Linked DNA regions of Neurospora crassa OR74A. The protein of the gene in region 1 purifies or fractionates together with the protein of each later gene. This does not show direct contact. Links are inferred from orthologs where the notes say so. Each region holds a gene or a part of one and is shown on either strand. Other genes may lie near its edges. The genes, in order: NCU06105 and NCU04115.

What was found.
Region 2: the proteins of NCU06105 (region 1) and NCU04115 purify together in Saccharomyces cerevisiae (affinity purification with western blotting; 3 studies listed by BioGRID). This does not show direct contact. The link is inferred for Neurospora crassa OR74A from reciprocal best matches to the Saccharomyces cerevisiae genes GGA2 and CLC1.

Annotation. Positions count from the first base shown.
Region 1 is NC_026507.1:1,776,911-1,793,169, reverse strand, and holds NCU06105 (ADP-ribosylation factor-binding protein GGA1), read left to right. Parts: upstream 1-6,794; 5' UTR 6,795-7,374; coding exon 7,375-7,920; intron 7,921-7,982; coding exon 7,983-8,670; intron 8,671-8,732; coding exon 8,733-9,235; intron 9,236-9,352; coding exon 9,353-9,559; 3' UTR 9,560-9,890; downstream 9,891-16,259. Other genes in the region: NCU06102 (hypothetical protein), read right to left, coding at 1-128; NCU06103 (mitochondrial translation initiation factor), read left to right, coding at 676-699, 812-4,448, 4,523-4,674; NCU06104 (RLI and DUF367 domain-containing protein), read right to left, coding at 5,014-6,279; NCU06106 (hypothetical protein), read left to right, coding at 10,701-11,098, 11,154-11,277, 11,334-11,798, 11,863-12,318, 12,580-12,865, 12,921-13,018; NCU06107 (hypothetical protein), read right to left, coding at 13,556-13,800, 14,244-14,343; NCU06108 (UPF0135 protein), read left to right, coding at 14,872-15,080, 15,149-16,016. UniProt on the Saccharomyces cerevisiae protein: May play a role in the regulation of membrane traffic through the trans-Golgi network.
Region 2 is NC_026505.1:4,889,487-4,904,843, forward strand, and holds NCU04115 (clathrin light chain), read right to left. Parts: upstream 8,971-15,357; 5' UTR 8,720-8,970; coding exon 8,677-8,719; intron 8,604-8,676; coding exon 8,368-8,603; intron 8,281-8,367; coding exon 7,825-8,280; 3' UTR 7,621-7,824; downstream 1-7,620. Other genes in the region: NCU04113 (hypothetical protein), read right to left, coding at 3,385-6,132; NCU04114 (hypothetical protein), read left to right, coding at 6,836-6,840, 7,013-7,100, 7,218-7,278, 7,343-7,404; NCU04116 (DUF618 domain-containing protein), read left to right, coding at 9,739-9,836, 9,923-10,014, 10,137-10,337, 10,392-11,179; NCU04117 (ATP-dependent permease MDL2), read left to right, coding at 12,341-14,740. UniProt on the Saccharomyces cerevisiae protein: Clathrin is the major protein of the polyhedral coat of coated pits and vesicles. In yeast, it is involved in the retention of proteins in an intracellular membrane compartment, presumably the trans-Golgi. The yeast light chain is important for cell growth.

The DNA.
Region 1 (16,259 bases):
GAGAGAGAAGAGGTGAAGGGCTTGAGTGAATCCGGGGCGATGCGGAAGGGTTTGGGCGGCTCGAGAGCACCGCCGGAGCTGCTGCTACCGCCGCCGCGTGCTCCTTTGCTCGTTTTCTTTGGCGCCATGTTTGGCGACCTATGTGGGTGTATGATGAGGGAATTTGGCGAGCAAATGAAAGAAGACAGTATAAAAAAAAAGACGGTGAAGGAATGGAGGGAAGTGGAAGTAGGCGGCTTCGTTGAAAGAAGCTTTGGGGTTTGGGGCCAGATTTCCGGAGGCCAAAAGGGTCCACGTCGGGGTACGTGCCTTGTATTGTTTGTAAGCCCCTGAAGCTGACCTCTGCTCAAAAGCACCTGCCTTGACCCTAACCCGGCTCCTAAACTGCTCGCTGGACAGCTGCCCCTCACTACCTATTCCTACAACCCAGCACGTACAGGAAGTACCTCTACTGTAATGCTGTTTTATCTTATCAGTCACTGGGTGCCCACTTTAATATTGAAGCGCTGCGCGCTGCAGCACCAGTAACGACCGGGAAGCTCTGGTGAACTGCGGGACGGAACGGATCGCCCGTGTAAGTTACAAAATTCCACCTTGGCTGTCGCGCCAGGCTCTTGTTCTATCTCCTCTCTGGTCTGGTCCTGCTGGGCAAACTATGCCCTGTGATAGAACAAGATGATGAGGGGCGGACTGTTGCAGGTAAGTGCGGTTCCCGATGCGCGCATTGCTCAATGACGACGACGTCAAGCAGGAACTTGAAGTCAGTAGAAGTCAAATAGATGGCTGACATGGAAACAACCACTGGAAACAGAAGCAGAGCACTTCCTCTGTGTGTTTGCTCTGCCGCCACAGATGGCAACTTCGCCAGCAACAGCAGCAACGTATCTATCCGAATACCCGCCGCATATACTCTTCGTGGGACGACAAACCTAGCTGGGGTACCCAACAACAGCCTGCGACACCGAGCGCCGGAGGAGGAGGAGGAGGAGGAGGATGGGGTGGTTCCTGGAAACCGGCCGCCCCTGCGACCCCAGCCACTCAAACGACACCCGAACCAGGAACGGCGCAAAGTCAACCCAAGTCCGCCAACGCTGGTTTGCTTCCTCACGAAGTCGCCGCTAGACAGCGCTTGTTGCGCATGGCCGAGGCCGCTGTGGCTGCTCAGCCCGCTCCACGTCCCGCTCGAAACCCGGCACCAGAACCTCCCAAACGCGCCTCGAGTGACCGTCCGGTGCGCCGGCTACCTGAAGGTCAACAGAACGAGTTCAATAGGGCCCCGCCTCGCAAGGAACAGCAGGGACCTGTGGTGCGTAGGATGCTTCTGCACCCGAAACAACCAGGTCAAGACCCTACAACAGAAACACCAGGACCCAAAACTGAGCGTGAAGCCCAAAGAAGCCAGGCTCCTGTCCGCAAAGTTTTAGAGCCTTTTGGTATAAGACGTTTTCCAGCACGGGCGCCTCAGACTCAACAGCCAGCTCCTAAGGAATCACCTTCCAGTCAAACGGCTCCTAGGGAACCGACCCCCAGCCGACCGACACAGTCCCTAGCAAGTACAAGTCAACCAACTGTCAGCAGTCTATCCAGCCTTTCCAGCGGGGCATCATTAAAGCCGGGCCCAGCCAGCCAACTCAGTGAACAAACTGATGGGGCCTCGGGGGAAAGCAGCTGGGATGCTTTGGAAGCCGCCAGTTCGGCGTCCAGCCAGCCTCCTAAGCCCGCCAGTGGAGAATGGGGAACAAGCAGCTGGGGAGCAAGCAGCTGGGGCGCCTCTTCAGCCTCCAGTCAGCCAGCCAGCCAATCTCAGACAGAACGACTCCTCCCCCACGAAAAAGTAGCCAGGGATCGGTTACAGCAAAGACATGCTCAGAGCCACCCTCAGGCCCCAGCAAGAAATCTGAAGAGCCTTGCTGATGGTCTTTTTGCCCATGATAGACAGACAGGTCAACTTTCGGCCAAGGATCTAAGGAAACGCCAGGAGACAGGTTCTCTCAAGAACGACTTGCTGAACGCCGAGGAAGAGGAGCGTCGTGCGGACAATACAGATGCATGGGATGACATATTTTCCACTCAGCCTCCGCCTCCCCCGCCTCCTCCTTCTACACGCAGAACTTCAGCTCGTGAGGTTTACCAGTCGATTTCATCAAAGTTTGCACCTCCACCTGCACCTCCATCGGATTCCAAATCTTCGCGTGAAACCGAGGGGCAATGGGCAGGGCTCATCCGCCGTACAGCCGGGGCAAACGTTGGGAACGGCCGATTGACTGGTAATAACGATTTTGTCAAGACCGCTCCCCCTTCTGAAACTGAAAAACGTTCGGAGCCCAGAGATAGTCGCAACTTTTGGAAGCAAGCTGAAGATCGATATGCAACCAGTCCAGCACCTCACGCGCAGCCTGAGACGGCTTCCGAGAGCACTCGGGAGGCCACCGAAGCGTTCAAGAAGCAGATGTCGGATGGCTGGGATTGGGCTGACGACTACGGAGGGAAGCCTAAGGAGAAGGAAGGACAAAAGCTGGAGCAGCAAGACTTTGAAAAGCCCAGGGGCAGGGATAATGCAAGACAGACCAGAGGCGATAGGGTTGCATTGGAAGAGATACCGATTCCCTCGCGGTATATCAAGGAGGAAAAGAAGCCCAAAAAGAAAGGGGGTAGGCGGCGCGACTACAACGAAGACGATGATTTCGATGATATGGCGTATGAGTACAAGCGTCGTGAAAGGTTGGCCAAGAAGGCTGAGAAGGAGCGGCTCCAGTTTGAGGAGACTGGCCCCATTCCTATTCTCCTTCCCGAGTTTATCAGCGTTGCCAACCTCGGCATGGCCCTTGGCGTGAAGACCGACCTGTTCATCTCCCAACTGGGAGAACTCGGATTTGAAGACATCGCCAAGGATAGCATCATGACCGGCGAGACGGCCGCGTTGGTTGCCCAAGAGTACGGCTTTGAGCCAACAGTCGACGCTGGTGAGGATGAGGACTTGAGGCCACGCCCTCCTTCTGAAGACCCCTCTAGCGTACCCCTACGGCCACCAGTTGTCACTATCATGGGACACGTCGATCACGGCAAGACTACTCTGCTCGATTTCCTGCGGAAGTCTTCGATCGCAGCCGGTGAGCACGGTGGAATTACCCAGCACATTGGTGCCTTTTCTGTGCAGATGTCCTCGGGTAAGCAAATCACCTTCCTGGATACCCCCGGCCACGCTGCCTTCCTATCCATGAGACAGCGCGGCGCCAACGTCACCGACATTGTGATTTTGGTTGTCGCCGCCGACGACAGTGTCAAGCCGCAGACCATCGAGGCCATCAAGCATGCTCGATCCGCCAAGGTACCCATGATCGTGGCCATCAACAAGATCGACAAGGACCAAGCCAACGTCGAGCGCGTCAAGTCTGACTTGGCCGCCAACGGCGTCGAAATTGAGGACTATGGCGGCGATGTCCAGGTTGTCTGCGTCAGCGGCAAGACCGGTCAAGGTATGGACGATCTCGAGGACAACATCCTTCTTCTGTCCGAGATGCTCGACATCCGCGCCGAGCCCGACGGCATGGCTGAGGGATGGGTCCTTGAGTCCAGTATCAAGCCGATTGGCCGCGTGGCCACCGTGCTCGTCAAGCGCGGCACTCTGCGCCCCGGCGATTTTATCGTTGCCGGCCGTGTCTTCGCCAAGGTGCGCAGCCTGCGCAACGAAGCGGGCATTGAGGTCGAAGAGGCTCCCCCCGGAACAGCCGTTGAGATTCTCGGCTGGAAGGAACCACCCGAGGCGGGTGACATGGTTCTCCAGGCCCCTAACGAAGACAAAGCCAAGAGCGCGGTGCACTATCGCATCGAGCAGAAGGAGCGCGAGGAGGCCATGGAGCAGATTACGGAGATGGAGCGGCTCAAGCGCGAGCGTGAGGCCGAACGAATCGCGGCCGAGGAGGCTGAGAAGGGTGAGGATGGAGCCGAGGCGGCAGAGGAGAAGCCAGATGGGCCCAAGATGATCAACTTCACCGTCAAGGGCGACGTACACGGTTCGGTCGAGGCCGTATGCGCGTCGATCCTGGAGATCGGAAGCAACGAGGTGCGCCCTCGCGTGCTACTGTCGAGCCCGGGCCAGATCACCGAATCGGATGTCGAGCATGCCGCGGTTTCGGGCAGCACCATCATCAACTTCAACAACCCGATTCCTGGCCACATCAAGCGCATGGCGGTCGAAAATAAGGTTAGGATTATGGACCACAACATCATCTACAACCTGACCGAAGAGGTGCGCCAGGTGCTGAGCGAGAGCTTGGCCCCCACAATCTCGTTCAAAGTACTCGGCGAGGCCGAGGTGGCGCAGGTGTTTGCTATTAATATCAAGGGACGGAAGTACAAGAACATTGCGGGCGTCAAGGTCAGGAACGGGATGGTGATGAGGAATGGGCGGGTGAGGTTGCAGAGGAAGGGAGAGGTTGTTTTTGATGGTGAGTCGATCATTTTCTTTTTCTTTTGTGGTCTTATCTTGTTACCAATCTTGCTAATCAACAACAAAACACAGGTACCATCAGTTCAGTCAAGCACGGCAAGAAGGAGGTTACGGAGATGCGCAAGGGCACCGAGTGCGGTCTCGAGTTTGGCGAGTTTGACGACATCAAGGAAGGAGATCTCATCCAGGTTGTGGAGGAGATTAGAGAGAGGAGGTATCTGTAAAGGATTGTTATCCTGTTGTACAATTATTATACATGTACGATTGTGCAAATCCTGGAGTTATGAGAAGATGGGTTGTATCTGTGGGAAAAAGATGGATGGTGGTGGATATAGATAGTGTTGCATATACCAGCAGCTGCCAATGTATAGACATGATGGCACCACGTCAACAATGGTGCATGTAAGAATTGATCGAGGGTTTGATGGGAAATGAGCATGGTCAGCTTCATGACTTCATGGGGTAAACAGTAATGCATATATATATACTCCTTGTCTCGTTGTATAATTCTCCTGATTTCATCAAGTGCCCCCATCATCATCATCATCATCATCCAATCTCCTTTATCTTCCTCCTCTGGGTGCAGATATGGAAGCAGACGAGAAGGTGCCTGTCAACGTAGCCCGCGCCCGCTCCTTCTCCAGCTTCTGCAGTCCTATCCTATCGGTAATGGGCGTAGCAGCAATGATATTGTCAAACTCGTCATCCTCCTCCCCATTGTCGGAATCCGGCTCGGCATCGGAATCTGGTTTGTACTGCCCTTGCGGTCGGGCAATGGTCTCGACCGTCTTCTTGGGCGGTTCGGGGTTGGCAAACGATTTGGAGGCGAGGATTTTGCGCCGAATGGCCTCCATCTCGGCTTCATCATCGCTATCGTCGGATATGGCGAAAGGGTCCTTGTCTTCTTCCTCTGACTCCTCTTCGGCTGGTTGTTTCTGTTTGGGCGGTGGTTTGGTGCCAAGGTAGATACCGTCTACGCTGCCGTCTTCGTCGTTACTGTCTGCCTCCTCATCGCTATCTTCCTCGTCGTCTTCGTCGTCGTCCTCCTCATCTGAGTCATCCATAGCTGGCCTCCGATTTGTGTTTCCGGTCGTCCAAATGTCATCCGACTCTCCCTCTCTGCTCTCAGTATACTCTTTTTCTAGCCTCTCCCTCCACGCCTCCTCCGCCTTCTTGATCTCCTCCTCATCCTTGCACGCCGAGTAGATCTTGAACAGCTTCGAGTTGATATCCAGGAATGCCCTGCCGTAAGAAAACGGAGCCAAAATCTCTTCCGCCCACTCCAAATGACCACAGATGGCAAAGGCCGCCGCCAGCGCCTCCACGCAGTTCAGCCGAAACGGCTTACCATAGTTGACCGTGTTGGCCGCCACGAGGTACGGCAACAAGCGCTCGCACTTGCCGCCCACCTTTTTCCACTCCACCTCCTTGGTGCGGGCCCACGAGCACTCCACCACCGCCGCGCCATACTGCTCCATCAGCTCCTTGTCGGCGGGCGACACGACCCGCTTGCCGTTGGGCGTGATGATGACGCCCGAGTGTCGCTGGCCCAGGTGCAGCTCGCGCATGAGACCGAGTTTCATCAGCTTCTTGCCTGAGCACCGCTTCGGGTCGCAGTGGCCTAGGTCCCAGCAGGCGGCCTTGAAGGGAGGGCGGTAGGGGCGTGAGGACGTGGACGGGTCGTGAGGGTTGGCTGTGGTGTCTTCGCCGCCGCTGCCGGCATTGTCTCGGGGGCCTTTGCTGCTGCGGGGGTTGTTGCGGGGCGCGTTCCGACCATGGCCGCCTTTGCCGCCGCGCGAGGAGAAGCCGTCCTTTTTGTGGCGGACCATAGTGGTGATGGTTTGAATTTCGTCGGGAGGATGGATGTTGTCGAGATGGAGTGCCGATGGTTTTGGCTCTGGGGTTGAAGCTTGTAATTGACGGACTTTTTTTTATGTCGCAATGGATGGATGATTTTGGCACGACCTAGCACTGCCTTGCTTTACCAGGGCAGAACTTGGATGGAAATATGCGTGCCGTCTTGGACCACAATGCGAGCTGCTTGCGCTACAAGGTTGAAGTGGCAGATGGCGAAAAAAGTTATGGATGCGATTTGAAGACCTTGACGACATCGCATTTGGGGTTCAGTTGGTGCAGGTGGGGTGGACAGGTGGGTCCGCTGAGGATGTCCATGATTGACGTCTTCCCCGGATTCATGCAACTCACCGATTGTTGCTGCGGAAGATGCTCGATTCGCAAGCGTCTGCCGCGCTTACACCATGCTGGAGGCGCTTGTCGAGGTGCTGTGGATTGAAATTGCAGTGTATTATTCATCCACAAAGATAGTATTCTTGTAACGCAGTCTCGCAACGTACCGATGTGCGGCTCCATTTTTCCTTGCGCCCCAACAACCTCAACGGCAGGCAACAGCGCAGGCCCAAGCCCAACCCGTCCGTCCAGAGCACTGAGAGGGGTCCACGACCTGACCTAGCCGTGTAAGCTCCCGTCCCCTAGCAGCAGTAGGCCTCTCCTCCTTCCATCAGCCAGCGATCCAGGTGGACACATTCCCGTTACCTCTAGGTACAGAAGTTCGGATCGAATCATAGTCCAGTCTCTGGGTGTATAACGAAGTATCAAACTGTAGTAGTACCATACCATACCTCTACTCACCATACTTGGTAATAATCCCAACGGCTTACCGGGAAGAGGGGGAGCTTCACTAGGTACCTACCTTACCTCTAGCACACAACTCCTCTAGACTACACTAGAGCTTGACCGACCAAAGGCTTGGTTGGGTCCTGGTTGCCGCCATCCATTACCTACCTATCCAGGCGACTCCCGCCAAGCTGCGCAATCTGGCCCCAATACCTCCTCGGTCTCTTCAGTCTCGTCAGTCTCCTCATCCACCACTCAACACGTCCCGACTCCCCGAGAACGCCGGCAACATGGAGGCGGCGTCTGCCCGCTATGCCACGCGCGACCGGTGGGCCGAGATGGGCCGCCCGGCCCCGTCCCAGCTTCAGCGCTTCATCACGGCCGCCTGCAGTCCCGACAACTACGAACCCAACTTGGCCCTGAACCTCGAGATCGCCGACTTGATCAACTCCAAGAAGGGTTCCGCCCCTCGAGAGGCCGCCGTGGCCATCGTCAACTACATAAACAACCGCAACCCCAACGTTTCGCTGCTGGCCCTCAACCTGCTCGACATCTGCGTCAAGAACTGCGGCTACCCCTTCCACCTCCAGATCAGCACAAAGGAGTTTCTCAATGAGCTGGTACGCCGCTTTCCCGAGCGGCCCCCGATTCGCCCCACCCGTGTCCAGCTCAAGATCCTCGAAGCCATTGAGGAGTGGCGCTGTACGATTTGCGAAACGAGCAGATATAAAGAGGACTTGGGCTTCATCAGGGACATGCACCGCTTGCTGAGCTACAAGGGGTACACCTTCCCGGAAGTCAGAAGGGAGGATGCTGCTGTGCTTAACCCGAGTGATGTAAGTGTTCCGTCCCGATTCCATGGGTCATTGTTGAAGCGTGTCTAACCTATCTGTCACAGAACCTAAAATCTGTCGAGGAAATGGAAGAGGAGGAACGCGAGGCGCAGTCCGCCAAGCTGCAGGAGCTTATCCGTCGAGGTACTCCCGAGGACCTCCAGGAGGCTAATCGACTCATGAAGGTCATGGCTGGCTATGACACGAGATCCAAGGTGGATTACCGCGCCAAGGCGGCCGAGGACGTGGGCAAAATCCAACAAAAAGCGAGACTTCTCGAGGAGCGGTTAGAAGCCTTTCAACCCGGCGACAAGATCGTGGATGGCGATGTGTTTTCCGAGCTCGCAGCCGCCCTGTCTAGCGCCCAACCAAAGATCCAGAAGATGTGCGAGGAAGAATCAGACGACCATGAAGCAGTCGCAAAACTTCTCGAAATCAACGACAGCATACACCGAACTGTGGAGAGATATAGGTTGCTGAAGAAGGGCGATATAGAGGGTGCCAAGGCATTGGCAAGTGGCGCGCCAGTTGCAAGCACAAGCAACGGCAGTGGAAGTGGTGCTGGCAAGAGTGCGGCGCAAGAGCTGTCGCTCATTGATTTTGATGCTGAGCCAAGCGGGGGGGACTCGACCAGCCAGTCCGCACCCCAGGGAGGAAACAGCCTCGACAACGACTTGCTTGGCCTGTCGCTGGGTGAAACCAGCTCTTATGGTCAAGGAGGTGGCATTGCCCTCGGGTTCGGTGCCAATACGAGTATGTCACTCGCTGCTTTCCGTGCAAGAGTCAAAGAGAATGTTGCTAACAGATCACCACAGACATTCCTGGACCGGCACTGCTCTCATCCACCACGCAGAACAGCACCGCACGGGGCCCCTCCCCTCAACCTGGCCCATCCTCTTTCAACAATTTCAACTCATTCGCATCACCAGTTGCTTCTCAATCAAGCACCCCCAAGCCTCCCGCGTATACAGCATCCGCTTTTTCCGCGCCAGCTGCGTCGTCAACAGCGTCCAACGACCCATTTGCTGCTCTAGCCTCTCTCTCCTCTTCATCTACCCCGGCGCCAGCGCCAGCACCAGCTGCTACCGGTAATGACGATGACGAGTGGTCTTTCTCCTCGGCACTGCCTCCTGAGGCGACACCCGCCCAGCCTAAGGAGCACAGAGCCGTTGTTTCTAACACTGCGCTCAAGGTCGACATGGTGGCTGTCAGATCTCTGTCCAATGGCCCATCTCCAGCCATTTCTATGCAATTTGCTTTTAGCAACAACACAGCGCAACCCATCACCGAGGTGCATTTCCAGTTGGCTGTCACCAAGGTAAGCTCACTAATCTGACCCTTGGCACTTTGACCAAAAATGTTTTGGGCTACGTTATGTGCCTTCGTCAGTTGTAGAAAGCCCTCAAGCGAGATGCTAATTGTGATGCTTGAACAGGGATACGAATTGCAACTTCAGCCTCAAACAGGACGGACTCTTACCCCCAAGCAGAGCCGGGGCATTACCCAGTCAGTCAACGTATGGTATACGGCGGACAAGACCAGGAAGGTAGAGAGCGTGAAACTCAGGTGGAGGGTATCATACAAGGTTGGAGCGGAAGCAAAGGCCGAGATGGGTGAGATTCCCGAGTTCAGTGTGGCATAAGCAGGAACTTTGGTAAGAACGAGGGCCACAAGAATGAGAACAGGGTTGCGTGCATGTTTACGTTCAAAATTCATTCATAGTAGTACAGAGCCAATTAATATGTAGTGATCCGATGACCGGCAAGAACAACAAGAATATCGCTGCGGTCGACTTTTCTGTTTACTGGGAGTTGTTCGGCTGGATCAAAGAAAGGAGACGAAGGACATATTAGCCACAGGTAGCTTGTCTGTCCCTTTCGTTCGGTGGATGGCTACCTACTTACTACCTCATACTTCATGCCTCTTTCCTCTGATATGCGACCGACATATTGCAGGCAACCTCAGTCACTTCACCTCACAGGAGTCGTACTTACCAGCTGGGTCAAGGTTCGTAGTTGCCACTTCCCATCACTTCTCACTTCTCATCTTTCTGGGGGTTTCTCATTTTGAGACGAACAAGACTCCCCATTCTCTCATTGACAAGTGTTCCAGAAGCACGACCTCCAGCCACCTTATTCTCCGCTCCTAGAAATCCGGCTGAACATTTCTCTTTACTCGACGTCTCTACGGCGGGCTATCACGAACCTTTTCGCCCTTGTTCATTCATTATTTTGTGGCATTTGCAAGGCCCTGTCAGATTATCGTCGTCCATCAAACGGAGTACACACTTATCCACGATATTCAGCTTACATTAGTGGTAGGATATCGATGAGCGATCAGTTTTCGAAAAGCACGAGCTTTGAAGCATGGTTGCCCCAACTGATCCTCGTCCCGGTCTGTCTCTGATTGAAACTCCCCTCATCCATTACTTTGTAATTTGCACACTCATTATGAAACCCTCTAACAATCCGGATGAACTGCTCAAAGCCATGAAACTACACCACGAACTATATATCGCGAATCTTCGGCTCCTTCATGAACTGACACTCAATCTCAACTCCCCTACTGTTCTCCCAAGTAGCAGTGGGATTGAACGCTCACGTATCCACGACAGCACCCCGTCTACGCCGCCTAGGGGCTCGACTTTCTCCCACGACAATCTTTCTTAGTGCACATTCGGTTCCAATCGTTATTAACATCAAACGAACGAGCTGCATAGCTCGAGACCATATAACTTTTCAACTCAAGCGCCTTCCAACGACAGAGCATCTCAGACGCCCACAATGACCGACAACGATGGTGATGATCTGCGGAGCCATTCCTTCTGCACCGCCAAGCCAATCGAGCAAGAGTCTTTTACGGAGCAAGATTTGAGAACCCATCTGACATCACTCAATAGTACCAACTGGGCTTTGGAAGAAATCCTACAGGTTCGGCGTGGGGATGAGTATATTAGTGCCCCACAACAATCTTTGGAACCATGGGAAGAAAGACGTGACGGCACATACAAGAATGCCACATACGAGGTATACGAGATACCCGGGAGTGGTGATCAGAAGTGCATGCCCGAGCCCAAACACAAAAAGAACGGAGACGACCCTCAACAAGTCCTCAGCGTCAGTAGCGTCTGGGACACCCTCAAAGAGGTGAACATAAACGGGAAGGCGGTCGGAAGAATAACGTGAGTGTGTATTTGCTATTGCGGAATTTTGAACACTCTTGTTGACGGGATCAAGTATTCTTCAAGAGGTCCCCCCTCTCGTGCTCGGAGCAGTCCATATGACCATGCGGAAACACTTCGATATGGACGAGCTATTCCAGCACCTCATTTCCAGTGAAGGAAATAACGGAAAGACCAAAGTGCGTGATACCATCATTCAATTAACTCGTCGATCTAACAGAACATACCAATCTAGGCTTATATGGATCGAACTACCGAATCCAACCCGCTAAGGCACAGGTCATTCTTCTTCGTCTTCAAGTACTATACTGTTGTCAATGAGAACAAGTGCACCCCTGCGCCGTGGCAACGTTATGATAGACGTCCAGCCGACCGAAAATGGCCCGACCATGTCGACATCGCAGAGTGCAGCTCAATCTTGGCATTATCACTGGGCGGTGATCCAATCAAAAAGTACCGGGCACGGGTGAAGAAAAGAGATATCAAGGACCATGTTATTTTTGACACATCGGCACCATGGCAACTTCTCAGTATCCAATGCTTCCCTGATGACGAGCACACGATGAGGAGCGAGGGATCAAAACGGCCGTTATGCAATGGCCCACTTGCATTTCTGGATAGCTTGGCTCTTGAGTACCATGATGCCGTTACAAGATACAGCCAGATCAACGACGAGGTGACAAAGCTTATCACACCGCCAGTAAGAACTCTGTCGCTTGAGCAATATACCAGACTCACCACTAACCTAACATACTTGTTCATAGAGCCAATTCATGTTCAACTCTGAACTTCGGGACGGCCTTCTGTTTGAAGACGAAAACTTTTCGTATTCCCGTCGTTACTTTTGGGCATACAACACTCTCGGTGTGATCAATGTAGGGATCGACTCGATGGTGTCAGCCTACAAAGAGACGTTCACCCAAGAATTCTGGGAAGGGAAAAATGAGAAGCTTTGGGCGCACCCATACCCAAACACGAGTGATGGTCAAGATTATGCTAAATGCATGGGAGTTCTTAGACAGGAGTTGGATAGGGAAGTGAAAAACCTGGAGATGGTGCGGAAGAGGAACGAAAAAACACGAGACGAGATTTCGTCGCTGAGGGAACAGTTGTTTAGCGGGAGCAGCGTCAAGGAGTCCAGAAGGGCCATTGAGCAGGGAGACAACATCAAGATCCTTACCATGGTGTCGATGCTCTTTCTGCCTTTAACTTTTGTAACTGTGAGTAAGCTTCCATTTTTTCGTATTCTTCTGATTCCTCACTCTCCCCTCTTATCATACAATGTGCCGAGTGTCCGTCATTCCCAGCCTGCGTTGTATTCACTACCATATATATACCTACGCCCCCTTGCCCGCTTTTCTCTTTACCCAACCTGTACCTTGCACCCTATCTTTGACAGAAAAAAAGAAGGCCTGTTTTTTCACCCTGACTTGTGTTGCTATGCATTTCAAGAAAAAGGTTCGCTACTAACTCGATCTCAGTCCGTTTTTGGTATCACCACTCTCGAGATATCGGTCGATGACTGGCGCTTTCCTGTCACTCTCATAGCGGTTTGCATCCCTTTTTTCATGGTCATATTTGTCCTCCAGACCCGCTGGGGCATGAAAATGGCTAAGAATATGGGAAACCGGATTGATAGATATACCAGTGAATTGTTTAATAGGCCGCCCTCAACGAACCCATGGCAAACGACTGATGACCATGGTAGGATGAGGGAATGTTCGTCCACGGCCAACGGAAACGACGTTTTGGGTGGGGGAAGAGATGGTCGGAAACGGCCTGCGCTCAGAGACAGACGAACAAAGTCTGACTCCCCATCAAGATTCTCTACCAGGTCTGGAGCAACAAGGGGAGGATTTCGACATGGTCTTTTCCATCAGCATCAGATATGTGGAGGCGGTTCATGGATATGGACAATGATGGAACGGATAGGAGGACTTTTCGCCTCGATGATAAACTTAAATCGGTGGAGTTGGCTTCTGTGGCGGAGGAACAAAGAGAAGACAGACGATTCGGCTTCAGGTGAGGGAGCAAGTATCGAGCAGGTGTAATTGTCCACGCCGGAATGTAATGGTTCGTAGAGAAATGGAGGGCAGGCGAGTGTCGAGTAGGTATACACCGATCAGATTCCATTTTCTTTCTCTCGTCCTAGGTACAGCGCGGATCAAGTCCCATAACAGGCAGAAACGTAATACACCCAGCAAGGATTTGCACATTGCATTGTATCGCCATGGTTCGTTTCCTGCTGTCATTCCTTCCTATCTCCCACCCTTGATTCAGAAGTCTCCCACGAGACTACTACACGCCGCCCTTTTTGGAGCAATACGCGCTGTTTTCATGCCCATCCAGGTACACCACCCACTACAGCAAGATTTTCCTTCTGGACTACTGCCACCTCACTTCGTTCTCTTTCCTTCCCCTTCCCCTTCCCCTTTCTTTCCATCCTTTCACATCACATCACTCGGTCACACCCTCCACCTTGCCCTGAGCATTCGTCCCGTCCATGGGCGGGCCGTCGTTCCCGCCCGTCGCCGCCTTTTCTTTTGCGTACTCGTCGGGGGTCTGGCACTTTGCGCTCCACGCGTGAATCCGCGCAATTTCCTCCTTGAGCGCGGCGTTGACGAGCCGGTGCCGCTTGAGCGAGTTCTTGCCGACAAAGTCCGGAGAGACGATGAGAGAGGTGAAGGAGGCGCCGCAACCGCCTTTATTTTGTTGGAAAAGAGGGAGGTGGGGGCTTAATTTAGTATATGTACTTGATTCTTTGGGGGGGCGGGGGCGGGGGCCGAAGGGATGGTATGGGTTGATGGAGGGAAGTAAGCAGAAATGTGAGGGAGGGTGGTAACGGTGTGTGTGGTTGGGGGAGGGAGGGAATGGCAAAGATCTTATCAGATCATCAGATTGTTCATTGAGCTTCCGGACTCCGGACCACCATCCGTGACATGACGTCAGGGCAAGGGTGCGGGAAGGTAAGTAGGTAAGTAGTAGAGGTAGGTAGGTAGGTGCTCGATATGTATGTGTGTGTTTGTGTGCAGCATATCGAAGTCGGGAAACAGGAGGGAACCGGACGAACGGTTATGCAGTGTACCTAAACAACGGACTGGGAAAGAAAACAGAAAATGTAATGCCGTGAAATGCATGTACGTACCCGACATGTCCGTTACTTCCACGTGAGTGGCATTGAGCCGCGTCTTGAGGGCGGCGGAGAGGAAGTCCTCGGTTATTGCTGGTTCTTGGTTGTCGGCCATTTTTGTGTATTGTAGTATGGTGGTATTCCTGATGTCTGATGTACGAGGAAGTGGTATTTGGAGATCCGTGTTGTTTCGGAATGGCGTTGCCAAAGATTGAGTGGATGGGGAGAAAGACAAAATCGATGAATAATTGACAGGGACCAGCAACCTGAAGTGAGAGTGAGAAAAAGATGCCCCGCGAATCGAAGGTCTTGGCATGTTTGGAGCTTTTACTGCAGTACACTAAGGGTTAGGGTTGACAGCGGAGAGATGGGGAGCTTTGCAAGGTTCGAACTCGGGAGGGAGCTTCACCTTCCCCCACCTGGAGCTCTTCATTCGATTCCGGGTTCAGTTGTAAACAAACACTTCACTTGGATGAATGACGAGGACAAAAAGGTTTGAGTGAAAATCAGATGCATGTTGGTTGGATTTGAACACGAAAAGTGATATATACCTGATTTTCTTCTATTCTCTAGTGAATCCCGCTGACAAAACTACAGCTTGATAATTTCCTGAGCATCAACAACACTTGCCCGGGGCACACTCATGAGTGCAGTCTTCAAGATCCCTATCCGGATCACTTCCAGAATATCTACCAAGCCTCTCGCACTTCCATACAAACCATCAATTCTTCTCCCGGGATATTTTAGAAGAAGCTATTGTCAAAACAAAAACAATAACCCCACCATCACAATGACCTCAACCCTCGAAAGCCCCCAGTTCACCAAGCGGGTAGTTGCCGCCATGCGGGCGCTGTAAGTGCTTTTGACTTCAAGTTCCATTGACCTACCTGATCTTCATGCCTGATACTGACCGCAACCAGCTATCCCGAGCAACTCGCCGACAAGGCCTGGGACAATGTTGGCCTCCTCCAAGAGAACATTGCCGTTGCCGGCCAAGACGTCCCGCAAACCGTCCTCTTGACTAACGACCTCACCGTGGCCGTCGCCGAGGAAGCCATCCGCAAGCGCGCCTCCGTCATCGTCTCATACCACCCCTTCATCTTCCGCGGCCTCAAGTCCGTCACCCTCGCCGACCCTCAGCAGCGCATCCTCCTGCAGCTCGCTCAGGCCAACATCGCCGTCTACTCGCCTCACACGGCCGTCGATGCCGCGCCCGGCGGCATGAACGACTGGCTAGCCGACATGCTCGACGGCCACGGCGTCGAGACCAAGCGAAGCATCTGCCAGCCCATCTCGAGCTCCATCACCGCCTCCTTGCCCCCGGCCTTCTTCAACTCCGGCTACGGCCGCCTCGTCGAGCTCGGCCACCCCGTCTACCTCGGCAACATTATCAAGGCCTACGCCGAGGGCCTCGGCGGGCTAAACCACATCATGATTGCCGCACCCAAGGACAAGAAGGTCACAACCATCAGGAGCGTGGGCATCTGTGCGGGAAGCGGGGCCGACGTGCTCAAGAACTGCGACGCCGATATGATTGTTACCGGCGAGATGACGCATCACTATGCGTTGGCGCTAACCATGAAGGGGAAAGTGGTCATGACCGTGTTTCACAGCAACAGCGAGAGGAAGTTTTTGAAGAAGAGGCTGCAGCCACAGTTGCAGGCTCAGTTGGAGAAGGAGGGCGTTAAGCACCCTGAGGTCTTGGTCAGCGAGGAGGATGCGGATCCGTTTGAGATTTGGGATGTTAGGAAGATGCCCGCTTGGGCTTTTGGAAAGGACTCGGAGTAGACAGACGTCACCTAGAACAGGTGGTGAAAATTGAATGGCCCGACGGAATTTGACTGTTGCGGTCACTGTCACTGGACAATGGGGATATGGTACAGTGATGACGCCTGGTCTAGCTGTGGATTGGGAGGCACTGTACGAAAGTGAAGAGTGCTGGATCTGTGTATCACCTGGACCTCCCGTTGTTGAGCACTTCATTTCCCCTGGCATAGCTGCCGGGTTTGGGTTCCCACAGGAGGAGACCAA
Region 2 (15,357 bases), on another chromosome or scaffold:
GGAAAGTCTCCACCAAGAAACCAACGCCAGCGACCTAACCTAGAGGAGGTACGTAATAACACCAATCATCCAGTTCGCATCGCATGCGCTGCAGGGCTTCCTTCGATATTAAAAAAAAAGAAAAGAAGAAAAATTGAATTGGGTTTGATCTATGCTGTCGGCTTTTGGGCCACTGGGCCTCGGTTCCAGATACGCCTCGTTCCGAATCCTTCTCAAGAAAATCGAACCCGAACTGCTGGAGACACTGCACTGTGGCTGCGTGCCTCCCTACACTAGGCCGTGGCCGGCCGGCTGGGTCGATGGGTGTGGCGAGTAAACTCAAAAAAGCGAAGAAGCGAAGATGACTAGACCTACCAACTTCTCGCATTAATGCTTCGCCATACTCGAAATACCATTGTGGTAGGTTTTGCGAGGGAAAGTGAGGCTGGTGACGTGGCACTTTTCAGTTGCGGTCGCTACGTACAAAATCGCATCAAGCTCTTCTAGGCTGCCTCCGTCCTCCCTTCTAGACCAAAATTTGCCCCGAGTTTTGTACAACTCATCAACTCTTCAGCTTTGCTTGCCCACAACATCACACGAGTTACAAGGGCGATGATGGAGTCCTCCGCCTTGTTGAATTTCGAGTCATCGCTGTCTTTCTCTGCTGGAATCCACCTCGAAAGCTGGAAAAATCGAAGGAAGAATTGCAACGAACGAACCATGGATGGTAGTATCACCCGCTATTAGTGTCAATCCCGTGAAAGCACCGTGAGGCGTAGAGGTATGTACCACCAAAAGACCCCTGTCGTGTCTACGCCAAGCTAGAAGCTAGGTACCCAAAAGCTCGCCGCAACAGGGGCTCTTGCAGATTTTATTGGCCACCGACAACGTCCAAGACAACCACCGAACAAGTCGAATACATAGTTGAACACCAAGCGCCCTGGATAGGATCTGGTGAACATGTGCACATATTGTCCTGCCTCGGAGAGAGAGTCCTCTTCCGTCTACTGGTAGAGCTTCTCAATCCTCTGGAGGGTCTCGGATGGTTCAGTATCTGGTAACGTGATCATCAAGTGGTGTGAAGTTTTCAGAGTCATCGTTCTTGCGGCTCTGAGTGGGTACAAGGTGTAGATAGACGACATATTGTTGCGTAGGTTGCTGCCTTGTTGCTGGATTACCTACATGTCATTCCGGATGCCTGAAAGGCGGAATTAAGACCTGTTCTTGGTGGCCATTGGATTTTCTAAGCCCAACAAAAAGAAAAGGGGAAAAGAAAAGTAACGCCTTGCCTAGTAACTATACAATTATGTATGCCCAGGTCTGAGTTGTCCGACGGAAGTCACATTTAGCAAGTCTTGGGATGACCGGATAGTTGCCAGAACAACCACTCCTCCCTTTTCCTTCTTCCATCATCAGCTCTTCGCCAAGCTAGCTGAGCATCCATCACGTTTAGACTGCCTTCCCAACAATCCACGCTTACCTTGCCGTTCTTCGTTCGGTACCTATGTAGTATTATATAATTTCCATTTTTTTAGCCTTGTCTCCCCTTGATGACTAGGCAACCCCTATCTTCAATTATCCATTCCCACTCTTTCTATGTCATACCATACCATGCCTGCCTACTTATTCAGCTTGATCGAATGGGGATGAGGATATGACTCGATGAGTCGATCGTTCTCCCATCTTTCAAGGCTTTCCGTTATCGTCACCATTCTAGTGTACCTAACCCACCTCATGAGCGTACAGTGTACAGTGTACACTAAAGAAGGCAGAGAAACATAGTCCCATGTACCTTGTTTTCCCATGTCCCGTCCCGCCATCTGCCTGGGGCGTAGGGCACTTCCCCAGCTCCAAGCTAGCCAGGCAAGCCAGGTTAGCCTCGCTCGAAAGCTCCAAAGCTGGCAAGACCAAGACCAAGATGTTGGGATAGGTACCTCTAGGGGAATGTGGCTGCCTGGTGTAGGACACATTCTGCGCTCTTGATCAAGCTAGAAAGCATGATTGGGCTGTGCCCATCTACACTATGTACATTTCTTCCTGGCCAGTGACGTTCATCTTCGCAAATAGCATTCTTTAGATAGAGGCCACTCCCGCCTCGAGAATAACACGCTGAAGCTGGTTTGAGACGTGTTCTTACTTCGCCGCCATTATTATAGGTAATTCCCCAGAGAAACGGCTTCTGCTGGGTGGATCCGAGTGGTTCTATTGCAGAGTGTCCCCTTCTTCCTTCATTGCGGCTTTTCGAAATTCCGGCATCAAAATGCAGTATGTAGCTATTTCTCAATTCACTCCACTTCCGATAACAAGTCATATGTGACTTTGACTAAAAGTTCACACTCATCCTTTTTCTTCTTCAACACTGGGCGTTTACTCAGCCTATAAGCGTCACGAGGCCCGAAATACCCCCTCTTTTTTTTACTTCCCCCCTCGAATTCTTCATCCTTCCACTTTCTACACCGGCAGTTTATGACACGTTGAATGATTCGCTTTACTTACTAGTGTAGTCCCTTTCACTAGCCGTTCCAAAACCTCTCCTCCGACCCCGCTTGTGAAGACTAGATGACTAAAGGATAGACCAGCCAAAGCGAGTAAATGTGTGCAGTACTAATGAAGGAAGACAGCTAAGCGCCTTGCTTGCGTCAGCCCATCGGTCCATCAGCCAGCCAGCCAGCCAGCCAAGCCAGAACTGGACGTCACTTGTTCACTCACTGGCTTATGCAATACTGACTGCCTACCTAGCTGGGCTGTGCGGCGTTTTAGGTGAGTGAGTGGAAAAGGGAAATGTGCTCTCCCCAGAAATGAGGGAAAAAGGGACAAGACATGGAACTCCGGGTACTGTTGGCGACTGGTCCTCGTTGAACCAGTCATGGAAGTCAGCGCCGGCGGTTGGATGGCATGAGGTTGAGCAAACATTGCTTAAGAGGGTATATAGTATCTGGTTAGTGAAGGTAGAGCTTTAATGTGGAATACCCTTCCTCCAATGATGGAAGTGGCTGTCTCGTGTGAGCATCTTTCTTGCTACCTGAATATATGTATCATGCTAAATTGTTGTGTGTGGACGGTTGAAACGAAAATCGGATATGTAAACAAGTTGCCAGTATGTGCATTTCGTGCAAAGCGTCTGTCTGTTTCAGACCTAAGCAAAATTGTTCTGTTCTGTTGTTCCTCCTCGCGGAAGCTCGTGCTCTCCCTTCCCTGCTCTCGTCATGTCCTGTTAACCATGATCTTGTGAAATCCGTGCTTTCTATCGTCTATAGATCCCCTCTGCGTATTTGTACAAATATATGACCGCAAGGCATGCAAAATGCGGTCACATATCGAAAGTCGGAGGACAAATTATGAAGTAGATGATGGGTAGTTAGGTCGGTACTGTGTATCCCGCAGCAGCTTGACTGCTTCTTACTGTTACTTGAGGAAGCGATCGAAGCCCTCAAAATCCTGGAAAAAATCGTCTTCCGTCTTGGCTTTTGAGCTTTTCCAAACGCTTGAGCTTTGCGCATCTGGGACTAGATTGGCGTCTGCTTCCTCTTGTTGCTGTCGATGTTGATGTTTAAGTTTTGTGGCGAACGGTGGCCTACCGCCGGGGCCATACTTCACCCACAGCTTGCTCCCCACCGCATACTCGCGTTTGTAAGGTATGAACAGTTCTGGCTGGGACTGTTTCAGCTTGAGCTTCCACTCCTTCATTGAGTGGTGAACCAACTCGGGCAAACGTTCCAGGACGTAGGAACCCCAGGCAAAATTGCACAACCTGATGGCTTCTTTGAGCGAAAGCGTCTCCCTCAGTTTCGGGGTAACATAGTGATGCCCGTGTTTCGGGGGCCGGTGAAAACGCTTGATCTCGCCTGAAACCAAAAGTACGGTGAGAGCCGGGACAATTACTGAGCGCGCCCAAGAGTCATCGGCCCGCACTCCCTTCTCCTTGAGCATTGCTACGAGCTTGATGCCTCGGGCGAAGAAGAAGTGTTCTGGCTTCGAAAATTCTGTTGCATCCCGAGGCATGCCGCGGGAACTGCGAAAACCCCAGCGGATGATTGACCCCAGGAGCTCCCTACCAAAAACCAAATGCAGTGGATGGTAGGGACTCGTTGTGCTCATTCCGGATGGAAGGCTCATAAACCTTTCTGACTTGGGCAATTGCTGAGCGACTGCGTCGGGTAGATCGAGTTTGTGAACTCGGAAAAAGCCCCCCTCGGGTCCCAGAGTACCCTCATAGAAACTAACAATGTCCAATGCAAGATCGTCGCGCTCGTCATGCAGTCCTTCACGTCCGAGTCTGAAAAGAATGATCTGAGAAGCCTTGGACGCGAGAGGATATCCGAATCGTAGAAGCCGTCTATACATGGTGGCATAGGAGGAAATGTCCACGCCATCTTTCGCAGGCCGTGGTACTATTTCTTCGCATACATGTTTTGATATGGCATCGGCCGTAGAGTGCATCATTTCGATATTTCCATCGGCCATAATATCCAAGAAGCCAACCATATGTGAAGCGCTGTTGGCTTTCAAACAGACCAACAATGCTTCATTCGTTGACTCTTTCAGAATCTGCCTTGTGTTGAGATGGCTAGCTTCCACAAGGAGCCGACAGAGCATAAAGTCTCCCTCCGCAGCAGCAAAACTCAGGAATGAAGGGTGCTTGGCGAAGTTGTCAAATTCTTCCGGATGCATGGTTGTATTGACAAGACCGTCAAACAGGTCCTCGTCGCCAACTGTAGCAAAGTGCTGTAGTGTTTTCGAATAGCTCGAGTTACCAATTCCGATTCCAGACTCTTGCAGCTGTGCAATGTGATGAAGGAGTCGGCCAGGGGAGGGTTCGCGCCGGGCTATAGACTGTAACGAAAGTGGCCCGATTTCAGAAAAGCCGAGAGTCGAGATTGTACCAATGATGGTTTCGATGGAGAAGTTGAGGGTCGCAAACCATCTAGCGCCCAAGCTGTCATTATCTGTTTGTTCTTTGATGCCGAAGATATTACCCAGACCCTTGGAGATCTGGTAGTTGAAGTTGATACCAACTTGCGACTTGTCGTCCCTTAACAGGCTGTTCAGGTCTGCACTACTTGGAAGCGCAGCTTTACTCGGCGGTATAAGGAAGGATTGTTCTTTGTCAGTCAACTGGATTTTCGGATGAAAGCCGACCAAGAACTGTAAGAATGGCCGCGAAGCTTCGGTTGTTGGCAAGTCGTTGTGAGAAATAAACAGCCGACGCCAATCACGGGCAATACCTTCCTCTCCTTGGGCGAAGAGGTAAGGAATCATCTCGTCGTAGAGGTTTTGGCGGACACTCGTCATGTACAGTGCTTGTAGGATTTCTCGAACCTTTGCGTCTGAATTAGTGATGAACTGCTTCAGCACGTGGGTAAGGGGTTCTGAGTCGGAGCAAAACGACGAGCTTAGGCGTAAGTGCCAAAGCAGCGTTGACTGTGTATCCTGTTGTGCTATGAAGAAAGATACAACACCTGCGTAGAGGTTTGGCCAAAGGACTCCGCGGTCACTGTGGAGCCACTCAGCATAGGACCAAGCACTGTGCAGTGTTGCTTGATCGTGAACGGCCACATCTAGTATTGCTTGCCAGAATTTCTCGGCAGTTGAGCCTTCCACTTCCGTCAAGGTTCGCCGTTTTTGCAGACCCTCGAGAACTGCTGCAACTCCGGCATCTCCTTCGGTGCGCTGGCGGTGCTCAAGTATGCACGACCAAAGGGTGATGTCGTTCGCATACTGTGGCCAGTCAACCAGTCGCGGCTTTCCATTTTCGGGCGAATCTGCGTGGACATCACACTGGAAGCGCAAGTCTTCCTCGGTGGCCGTCAAGACATCCCAATCGTCACGGTTGAAGGGCTGGTTAGCGATGCGGGATGACCGAAAGCCCGACCATGCTGACAGGTCGTGTGTGGTAGACGCTTGGCCTGGTAGCGCCTGCACTGCCGAGCCCCGTGCCTTCTTTGTATTCCGAACACCGTGGTCCTCTTCCGCCGCCAAAGTCTCCGAAAGTGCGTATGCCGTCAACGACCGCGACCAGCACGCGCTCGTTGAAAAGTTGACGCATGATGGTAGTCCAGACGCCTGTAAGTGCACAGCGTCCGTGTATAAGTGCGATATGGTGGAGCGGCGCGAGCGAGCTACATGTCGCAGCACAGGAGGCACGACTCGCATAATGGAATTGTGGCCGCTCGACACAGAGAATTGGGCATATGAGCGGCGGGGACTCTTCTTAGCGGCTGTCTGATGCGATCATGTTCATTTTCTTTTTCGCTTCGAGGTTGCCGCTGGGTTATTTGGCGTCGTTGTTCGTATCGTTCGTATAGATCGCGAGGTACCTGGGGCTTCGTTGACTGACTCGAGTTCTGGGGTATCGCGGGCGGTCCATCCCACGGATGGGGTTGTGAGGGGATGTGGAAACTCCTCGGGCTGGAAGCTTTGACGTTCTGGAGTGGAGGGGACACAAAAGTGGAGGGGACCTTGCAGGTGTGGCCGGGGATCGCTCCCTAACTTGCTTCTTAGTCATCCTACGATCATGTGTTTCAATCCCCCATCCTTCCCGGCAGGCAGTGAGTCTGCTGAGCTGCTCAGTCTGAAGGTCAATGTCGAGGCATCAGCAGCAGCTGAAAGCTGTGAGCACTGACCAAACCTTACACCTGGCAAACAGGCAGGCAGGCAGAGCTTCCGCCGTCGGGTCTGCAGTCTCCACCATCCACAAGTCCGTGCACCACAGGAAGCCCCGAGCCGAGAAACCTGAAGCAGTGAGAGGTTCAAAGCTAACTCTCCGTCCTTTCCACGCATTCGACATCATCACACCAACCCCTCGCATCACCCCCCCGGAATCTTCCACCCAACGACCCCCGACAACAATTTCAAGATGCCGTAAGCTTCTCCCCTCCGGCTGCGAGCTCCTCGACGATCCGACGACCCTCCAGCGACTGCGCGCATTGCGGACGCCGCCCCAGGTCCAATTACCTGTCGTCATGACGCACTATTGTTCGTCGTACGATTTTGGAATCCCAGGCTAACAGCTCTCTTTCTTCCCCGACTGCAGCGGCCTCGTCAACGCCCCCAACCACGTCCCCGAGAAGCAGCGCTACTACCAGCAGGCCTTCAAGAACCACACCCGCCTCTGGAAGATTGTGAGTTGAAGTCGACACTTGAGGATGGTTGGGGAATCAACAGATGGGAAGGAGGAGAGGGAGAGACGGAGAGGGAGGTTTTGTCGGGATAAGGGCTGATGACAAAATCGCGAACAGGGCCCTCGCAGCGGCATCATCATGACCACCTTCAACATTGCCATGTGGGGTACCTTCGGCGGTGCGTATACCTTCATTGATGGCTTATCGCTTCGTCCTTGCTCCTTCCGCTAACTGTACATCAGCTTCCATGTACGCCATGTCCCGCAAGGTTCTCGGCTACAACACCTGGTTCTCGGAGGATTAAATTAGCCGTCCTACCACGATAGTCAACGAAGGCGGTGCTACTGGTCATGATAGAAGCACGAGAATCCCTTTGAATATGTGTATAGTCGCAAAGAGCAGCATAGATGGCGGCAGAGGGCAGGCCGCTTTGGGTGATACCTCCAAGAAGTAGGCCGCCACGCCGATATTCCCTATTTGCATCATGGATTCCACCGACCACCTTTGGGAGAGCTACTGTAACCGTGGAAATCGTGATCCATTGGGTCTCGGCGCTTCGATTACCAAGCTCCAAACACTGATGGCTGCAGCTGTCAAGTCTTTTCTATCATTACAAAATTATGGCTTTTTGGCCATGGGGCAGTAGTGGCCATGGAGGTGTGAAACCTGTGAATAGTGGTAACCAGGCGTTCCCTTTGTCATGGGGGCAGATCAAGTAAGCGCTTTAAATCCCCGAGGCACCGGGGGCCTTTTCGTCCTTCTTTAGGCTTATCAGGAGCTCACGGAAACGCTCCTTGCCGGAACCAGCAGCACCGCCCTTAGCTCCCTTGCCGCTAACGTCAACCAGCTTGGCAATGCGCTCCCAGCTCGTGCCTCCCGATGTGGTGTCCTCGCGGCTGGCAAGGAACTCCTCGGCCTCCTTGCGGGTCTGCCCAATGGCCTTCTCCTTCTTGTTGTTGTAGTTCTCGTAGAATTCGTCAATGTTCTTCTGCGCCTCCGCGATGGTCTCGGCTCTCTGGGCGGCGAACTGCTCCGCCCGCTTGGCAAGCTTCGCATCACGCTTCTCGCGCCACTCTCTGATCACCTCGGGCTCTTGCTCCTCCTGGGCGTATGGCGCATATCCAGAGTTGTAGGTGACGGAAGGACCGGCGCCAGTGATGGTACCGCCTGGCGCAACAGACTAAAGTGAAGATGCCCCATGTTAGAACCCAAGACCATGATTACGTGCTGTGTCGACATCTTTGGTATCATCATTATTTAGTCGTACCTCGTTGCCTGCGGAAAGGTCGGGGAACTGGCTCTCGAAAGCAGCGCTAGTCTCAAGGCCAGCGCCGGCGCCAGCGGAGGAGTCAAGGCCACCCCCTAGGAGGTCGTTGTCATCGTCGAAACCAGCATCCTCAACTGTCGCAAATTGGTTGGCATCGTCGCCGAGAAGCGCCTTTTCGCGCTCGAGGAAGTTGGAGGCCGAGGGGCTTCCAGAACCCTCCTTGATCTCGGTCTGGGCTTTTGTGGGGGTTTGAATGTTAGCAGGCAGTAACAGCAAGGTAAGGGGATCTCCAAACAACGCCAAGCTTACCGCCGGAGTCGAACTCCTCCAGCGAGGGGAATCTGTCAGCCATGATGTGGGTGGTGTGATTTGACTTTTGGTAGATCGGCGCGAACGGACAAGACTGGAGGCTGGAGAAGTGGACTGAAAAACGGAAATATTGGGTAGGACGGAGGATCGAAGAAAGCTGCGAAACAGGCAAGGTGTTTCGTTGTTTGATGGAAGTGTCTTTTGGTGTTGGTGTTGCACTGCGGGAGTCCGAGTTGCAGCCCACCCCAGCGCTCCTGATCGCGCCAGGTTCCAGGTTGCGACGGGACGCCACTCACAGCGGCCACTGGGGCACTTTGGCACTTGTCCACAGTAACAGCGACCCTCTTGGGCCTCTCCATTTGGCCAGGGGAAGCCGTAGAGGTAGTAACAGCTACCTTTAGGTACCGGCAGGCAACTCCATTGTCTGCGTGCGGCAGGCGTTCCGTTGTCCCTCTTCCCCTGCCTGCCCTCGCATTGGACGGATGGAGGAAGCTCCAACGTCTGCTTCGTTCCGTCCCACCACCTCCCGTCGACAACTTCTTTCTTCCTTCTTCTTCTTTTTCTTCTTCTTCTTCTTCCTTTCATCAACAACATTCAGCACTCACCTCGCTGTGGTTTCAGTTGTTTGTCACAGAGCATCCAGATCACGCTCATTTGCGCTTTGCACTGCAAACTCTTCCTGGTGACAGCATTGGTAATAGCAGGGAAACGACTCCGGTGTAGTTGGACCACAGAGCTTGACTAGGTGCTTAGTTCGTGCTGAGCACTTCTCTCTTGCCGTCATCTAGTGTGTTGTGTTGATAGTCCACGCTTCTGCCATTTGAGGTTGTTCCCAAGGGCTTTCGATCCATATTCTAGATCACCACTCGGCCGCGTCTGGAGTCCCTGCTACTTACACGCAAACATCACGGATACCTTTTCGTACTGCTGTAGATGAGTTCTGAATAAACCCGACACCGCATATCTTGAACATCTGCCCCGTCCATCACACCCACCAACCAACCAACCATCAACAACCACTTTTTCCAACACTTTCCAACAAATTTCGCCTAAAGCTTCACCATGGCGTATAACGAGGATGCTGTGCTCTCTAAGCTCTCTGCACTCACTGAGACTCACGAGAGCATTGCAACCACCGCTCAGTGGATCATGTTCCATCGGTAAGCTCCCGCTGCCCACGACCGACGACCGCATTCACCTGCTGTTTGATGTCTCGACCGCCGAACTGACTGTTGATGTATCTTAGGCGACATGCTGCCCAGACTGTCCATCTCTGGTTGACCAAGCTGAAGGACCTCCCCAGTCCCAAGAGGCTCAACATGATTTATCTTGCAAACGGTGCGTGCATTTCCCAGGCTCTCCCACATAGGCTGCATGTGATGTGCATCCCCCGGCGTTCGTTCTGGGTTTCTTTCTTCTCGTTTGGGACTGAATGCTGACTTTATTCGTCTTTCTCATAGAGGTGACGCAGCAATCCAAAGCTCGCAACAAGGATGACTTCCTTCAGGCTTTCTCTCCATTCATCGCAGATGCAACCGCGTTGTCTTATAAGGGCGCCTCGTCAGACATCCAGAACAAGCTCCGAAGGGTTGTTGATGTTTGGAGAGAACGCAAGATATTCCCCATAGAAGTCCAGGACGCCATAGACTCTCGACTAAGAGGTAAGCCGTGGCCTCAGCCCTTCCGCAGACAAGCTACTAACTTGTTCAATCCAGAGCTTGACTCAGCCCGCTCCGGTGGAACAATGTTCGGTTCCACATCGTTGTCGTCGCCAGCTGCAGCGGTGCCTCCAGAGTTGGCACCCTTGGTTACCTCACAGCAGGCAGTTTCCAAGAGTGCCCAGGCGTTGAAGACAAGCCTTACTACCGCCAATTCGGACTACAGCAAGCTGATGGATCCGGCCCACGCTCCTCCTCAGGCGCCAGTGTATGCCGCGCGACTCAACGGGCTTCTTAAAAACCTTGCCAATGCTGAGGGAGCCGTGACGGAATGCATCAAGACCCGCGAAGAGCTGATCAGCGCATTGGAGAAGATGTTGAGCTCCAACCGACAGGCCTTGGAGGCCGAGCAATCACAGCTCAGGGATCTAGGCACCCGCAAGACGGCAGTTGAGGAGAAGAAGCAAGCAATTGAGCTCAGCATCATTGGAGGTTTGCCTCACAATACCCAAGAGCCGGCTACCGGTGAGGAGCGCGCTCCATCTAGCTCGGATGGCCACGGCATCGCCCGTCCTCAGGTTGAAGCACTCACGCCGCCCCACGTCCAAGATCACGACGATTTCTACGATCATCGCCCGTCTGAGCAACAACAGCCGCAGAACGGTCATACTCACCCAACTGGATCTGCTCCTGGCATTGAGATGCTGTCCGCCCTCGCTTCTCAATATGAGTCTGTTCCAACTCGAGAGGCCAAAAAGCGCAAGATCGACGAGACTGCCGACATTCCTGACGTAGGCATAGATGCCGATGTCGCCGAGATGATCCAGAAGGAAAGCACGATTTAGAACAAGGACGGGGAGAAGATTTTTGGAAGCAAAACTTGACCGAACTGAAGTTTTTCTACCTTTGTATCAGTTTGAGTGCATATGGCCCAACACTCTGGAGTTGTTGCCGTTATTGCTGGTCTAGGGGAACGATAATGGCTGTATGGCGAGAATCATCATTCATGTGGCATTTTGGCGCGGGCCTGAAACCTTCTCTGGAGCGAGTATGTGGAGATACAGAAGGACAGGACTAAGGATTATTGGCATGCTTCATTCTTGACGGGCAAAGCGCCATTCGGTTCGCTGTAGAAATATCGTGAATAAAATCATCGGCATTTACACAAGCGATCGTCTTTTTCGTCTTTTTTCATTACCATGATGACCTTTGAAGTTGATGACGTCCGCACAGCTTCAATACCCCTGAGGTACAAATAAGTGGCATGAGTGGAATGGGCCAAGCTTGAGCACGGGCCACTTGTAGAAGGTACCGACATCGTTGAACGCATTCCGGAATTGACAGTGGATGCCGCCGGCATCGTTGTCGGGTGGTGGCTTGCTCTTCGCTGCTGAATGACGAAATGTCCGACTGCAGGTGAAAGATGCGCGCTTTGCCCTGTTTTGGGGGGGGGGGGGGGGGGGAGAGGGACAATTGAACAAGGGAATCGAAGCCGCCCTCCCGCCGTCGTGGTCCCCAGAGCTTGAGCGGCGAATCAATCGCAGTTGCTGCAGCGCCAAACCGGCGATTGACCACTGAAGTTGAGATCCCGTCCGCCGGGACAAGCAAGGGTTTTTGCACCGACGGCCGAGCCGACCGAACTGCCTGGGTGTCATCCCGACTTCATTCCATCATCCCCCCCGCCGTCCGTCCCGTCCCTCGACCTCGGAACCTTTCCACCACTTCTTTCTCCACGTTTCCTTCAACAGTTCCTCAACCACATTCCACATCACCAAACTCACCCATTCGCACGCAGTGCAGGGACTCAAGGGAACCGGGCATTGACAAGCGCAGAAACAGGCGCGCATGCGCGCTAGCGGTCTCGCATCAGGCAATTAGTAACATAGCCCACTGCACAACACCGACATGATATGATAGAAACTCGACACCGAAACTCTACGATACAGCGAGCCTAGTACCTAGTCACATACACACTCGACCTACCCAAGACACATATACTTCAAGCCATGGTTACGGGGGTAGCGGTGCGCCGCGCCGTGCTGCTCCCCCAATGCGGCGGTAGCGGCGCCGGGCTCGCGGCTTTGCTGCCGTTCCAACGATCGCCCACTATGACTTCCTCGATTCTGTCCGCAAAATTCTGCCGTCCGTTCTCGTCAGTTCAGCGGCCCTCGACGACATCTTTTACCATCGTTTCGGTTCCTTTCTCATCCTCCCATCCCGGATCACGACCATGCGTACAATCCCAACGTTGGACTTCCCCCTTCGGCCTTCTCCGCCAGCTATCGACCTCACAAACTCGCCTACGGGAGCAGCCGGCCAAGGAAGCTGCGGCAGAGACAGCAGAAGAGGCGGCAAAGGACGTTGAAAAGGTCAAGGAATATACATCTGAAGAACACCTCAAGGTACACGGTTTTACGAAAAGCGAGAGGGCGCATAAGGCCGCCCATATCAACATGAGCGCTCGTCTTTCCAAGGATGGCAAATCCCAATCAGGCACCAAGCCCGGCTTCGCCGAGGTCTGGCGTCTGATCAAGATTGCGCGCCCCGAGGTCAAGGCGATGAGTGTCGCATTCGTCCTGCTTCTCATCTCGTCCGCGGTCACCATGTCCATCCCCTTCTCGATCGGCAGAATTCTGGATCTTTCCACCCAGGGTCCCGCCGGCGAGGTTCGGCTCTTCGGTCTTACCCTCTATCAGTTCTTCGGCGGCCTCGCTGGTCTTCTCACTCTTGGTGCGACGGCCAACTTTGGCAGAATCATCATTCTCCGTATCGTCGGCGAGCGCGTCGTGGCTCGGTTGCGCACGAATCTCTACCGCCGCACCTACGTCCAGGATGCCGAGTTCTTCGATGCCAACAGGGTCGGTGATCTGATCTCGCGACTGAACTCCGACACGGTTGTCGTGGGCAAGAGCATTACTCAGAACGTGTCTGATGGTCTCCGTTCCATGGTTAGCGGAGCGGCGGGTTTCGCGGCCATGTTCTGGCTCAGCCCCAAGCTGACATCCATTATCCTCATCATGGTTCCCCCTATCGGTCTTGGAGCGGTTCTCTACGGTCGCAACATTCGCAACTTGAGCAGGCAGATCCAGAAGAACGTCGGCTCACTGATGAAGATCGCCGAGGAACGGTTGGGTAACATCAAGACCAGCCAGGCCTTTGCCGCTGAAGTGCAAGAGGTGGGTCGCTACAACAAGCAGGTCAGAAAGATTTTCGCCCTGGGCCGGAAGGAGGCCATTGTCTCGGGTGTCTTTTTCAGCAGTACGTCGTATGCAGGAAATCTGGCGATCCTGGCTCTCTTGATTGTCGGCGGGAACCTTGTGCGCTCAGGGGCCATGTCTCTGGGCGATTTGACCTCGTTCATGATGTATACTGTCTTTGCTGGTTCGAGTCTCTTCGGTGTTAGCGGCTTCTACTCGGAACTGATGAAGGGTGTCGGCGCAGCGAGTCGTTTGTTCGAGCTCGAGGATCGCAAGCCGGCCATCCCCCAGACCGTTGGTGTGAAGGTTGAATCTGCGCAAGGTCCCATCAAGTTCTCGAATGTAACGTTCGCCTACCCTACCAGACCTGCAGTTACGATATTCAATGGCCTCGACTTTGAGATCCCCTCGGGCACAAACGTGTGCATTGTAGGCCCTTCAGGCGGAGGTAAAAGCACCGTGGCCTCCTTACTCTTGCGCTTCTATAACCCCACATCCGGTAGCATCACCATCAACGGCATCGACATTTCCAAGATGAACGCCAAGTCTCTCCGCCGCCGCATCGGCATGGTCTCACAGGAGCCAGTCCTCTTTTCGGGTACCATTGCCGAAAACATTGCTTACGGCCGTCCACGGGCTCCGCGCACCGAGATCATTGCGGCTGCCCAGAAGGCCAACTGCGGTTTTATTAGCGACTTCCCCGAAGGCCTCGAGACCCAGGTCGGCGCCCGTGGCGCCCAGCTTTCCGGTGGCCAGAAGCAGCGCATCGCCATTGCTCGCGCCCTCCTCAAGGACCCCGATATTCTTATCTTGGATGAGGCTACCTCCGCCTTGGACGCCGAATCCGAGACCCTGGTCAATTCTGCCCTTGCGGAACTCCTCAAGGGCCGCAGCACCACCATTTCGATTGCTCACAGACTGTCCACCATTAAGCGATCTGACAAGATCATTGTGCTCTCGAGCGAGGGTACCGTGGCTGAGATTGGCAGCTACACAGAGCTGAGCGCCAACAAGGACAGCCACTTCAGTAAGCTGATGGAGTGGCAGATGAGCGGTGGTGATGTCTCCCCGGACCACCGCCCTCCCTCTGGGGATCCTCATGTCAGTGAGGTTGAGGAGATTGAGGAGGAATTTGCGGAGGCGGAGAATGACGTTGACGATGCGGTGGAGAAGGATGTGAAGTCGCACAAGGAGCCAGTGAGGGAGTAAAGTGATGGCTGAATGATATTTTCAGCAATCCGTCACACTCCCACACCCCAGTCTACAGCAGATGGTAATGAGTTTGAGGCATTGTCAGCCACTTACTCACGTGGGACAAGCTCCCCGGTCGGGCCGCTGACACAGAGAGATATCTTATCCCTCACAGGCCCAGACCCAGGCATGAATCTCCCGCATCTTCTACCATATACCCGCCGAGCAAGTGACCAAAAGTCAAGGTCCATGCTTCACGCGATGCTCGCTTCAGAGGAGGAGGGCATCGTCACCTTTTTACTGTGTACATGTCACGTATTTTACTTGCTATGTTTGTTATTATTATTTTCAGATCTCCTTTTTAGGGCACTCTCTTTCTCCACTCTAGACCCGATCATGGATGGCTGGTTAGGATAGCTATATGTACGATGTATGATAGATCGGATGCTGGAGAGCGAAGGAGAACGGCACTGCTGGGGAGGTTTGGGGAGAGCCGATTTGGAGTACTAGAAGGAATAGATAAAAACAAATAAGGAACATTTGGCAATTACATCGTCTCGTCTATGACAGAATCAATGAGACCTTTGCTTCAGTGGGCGATCGACCGACTGGTCTTATAAACCAGTCCCATAAAC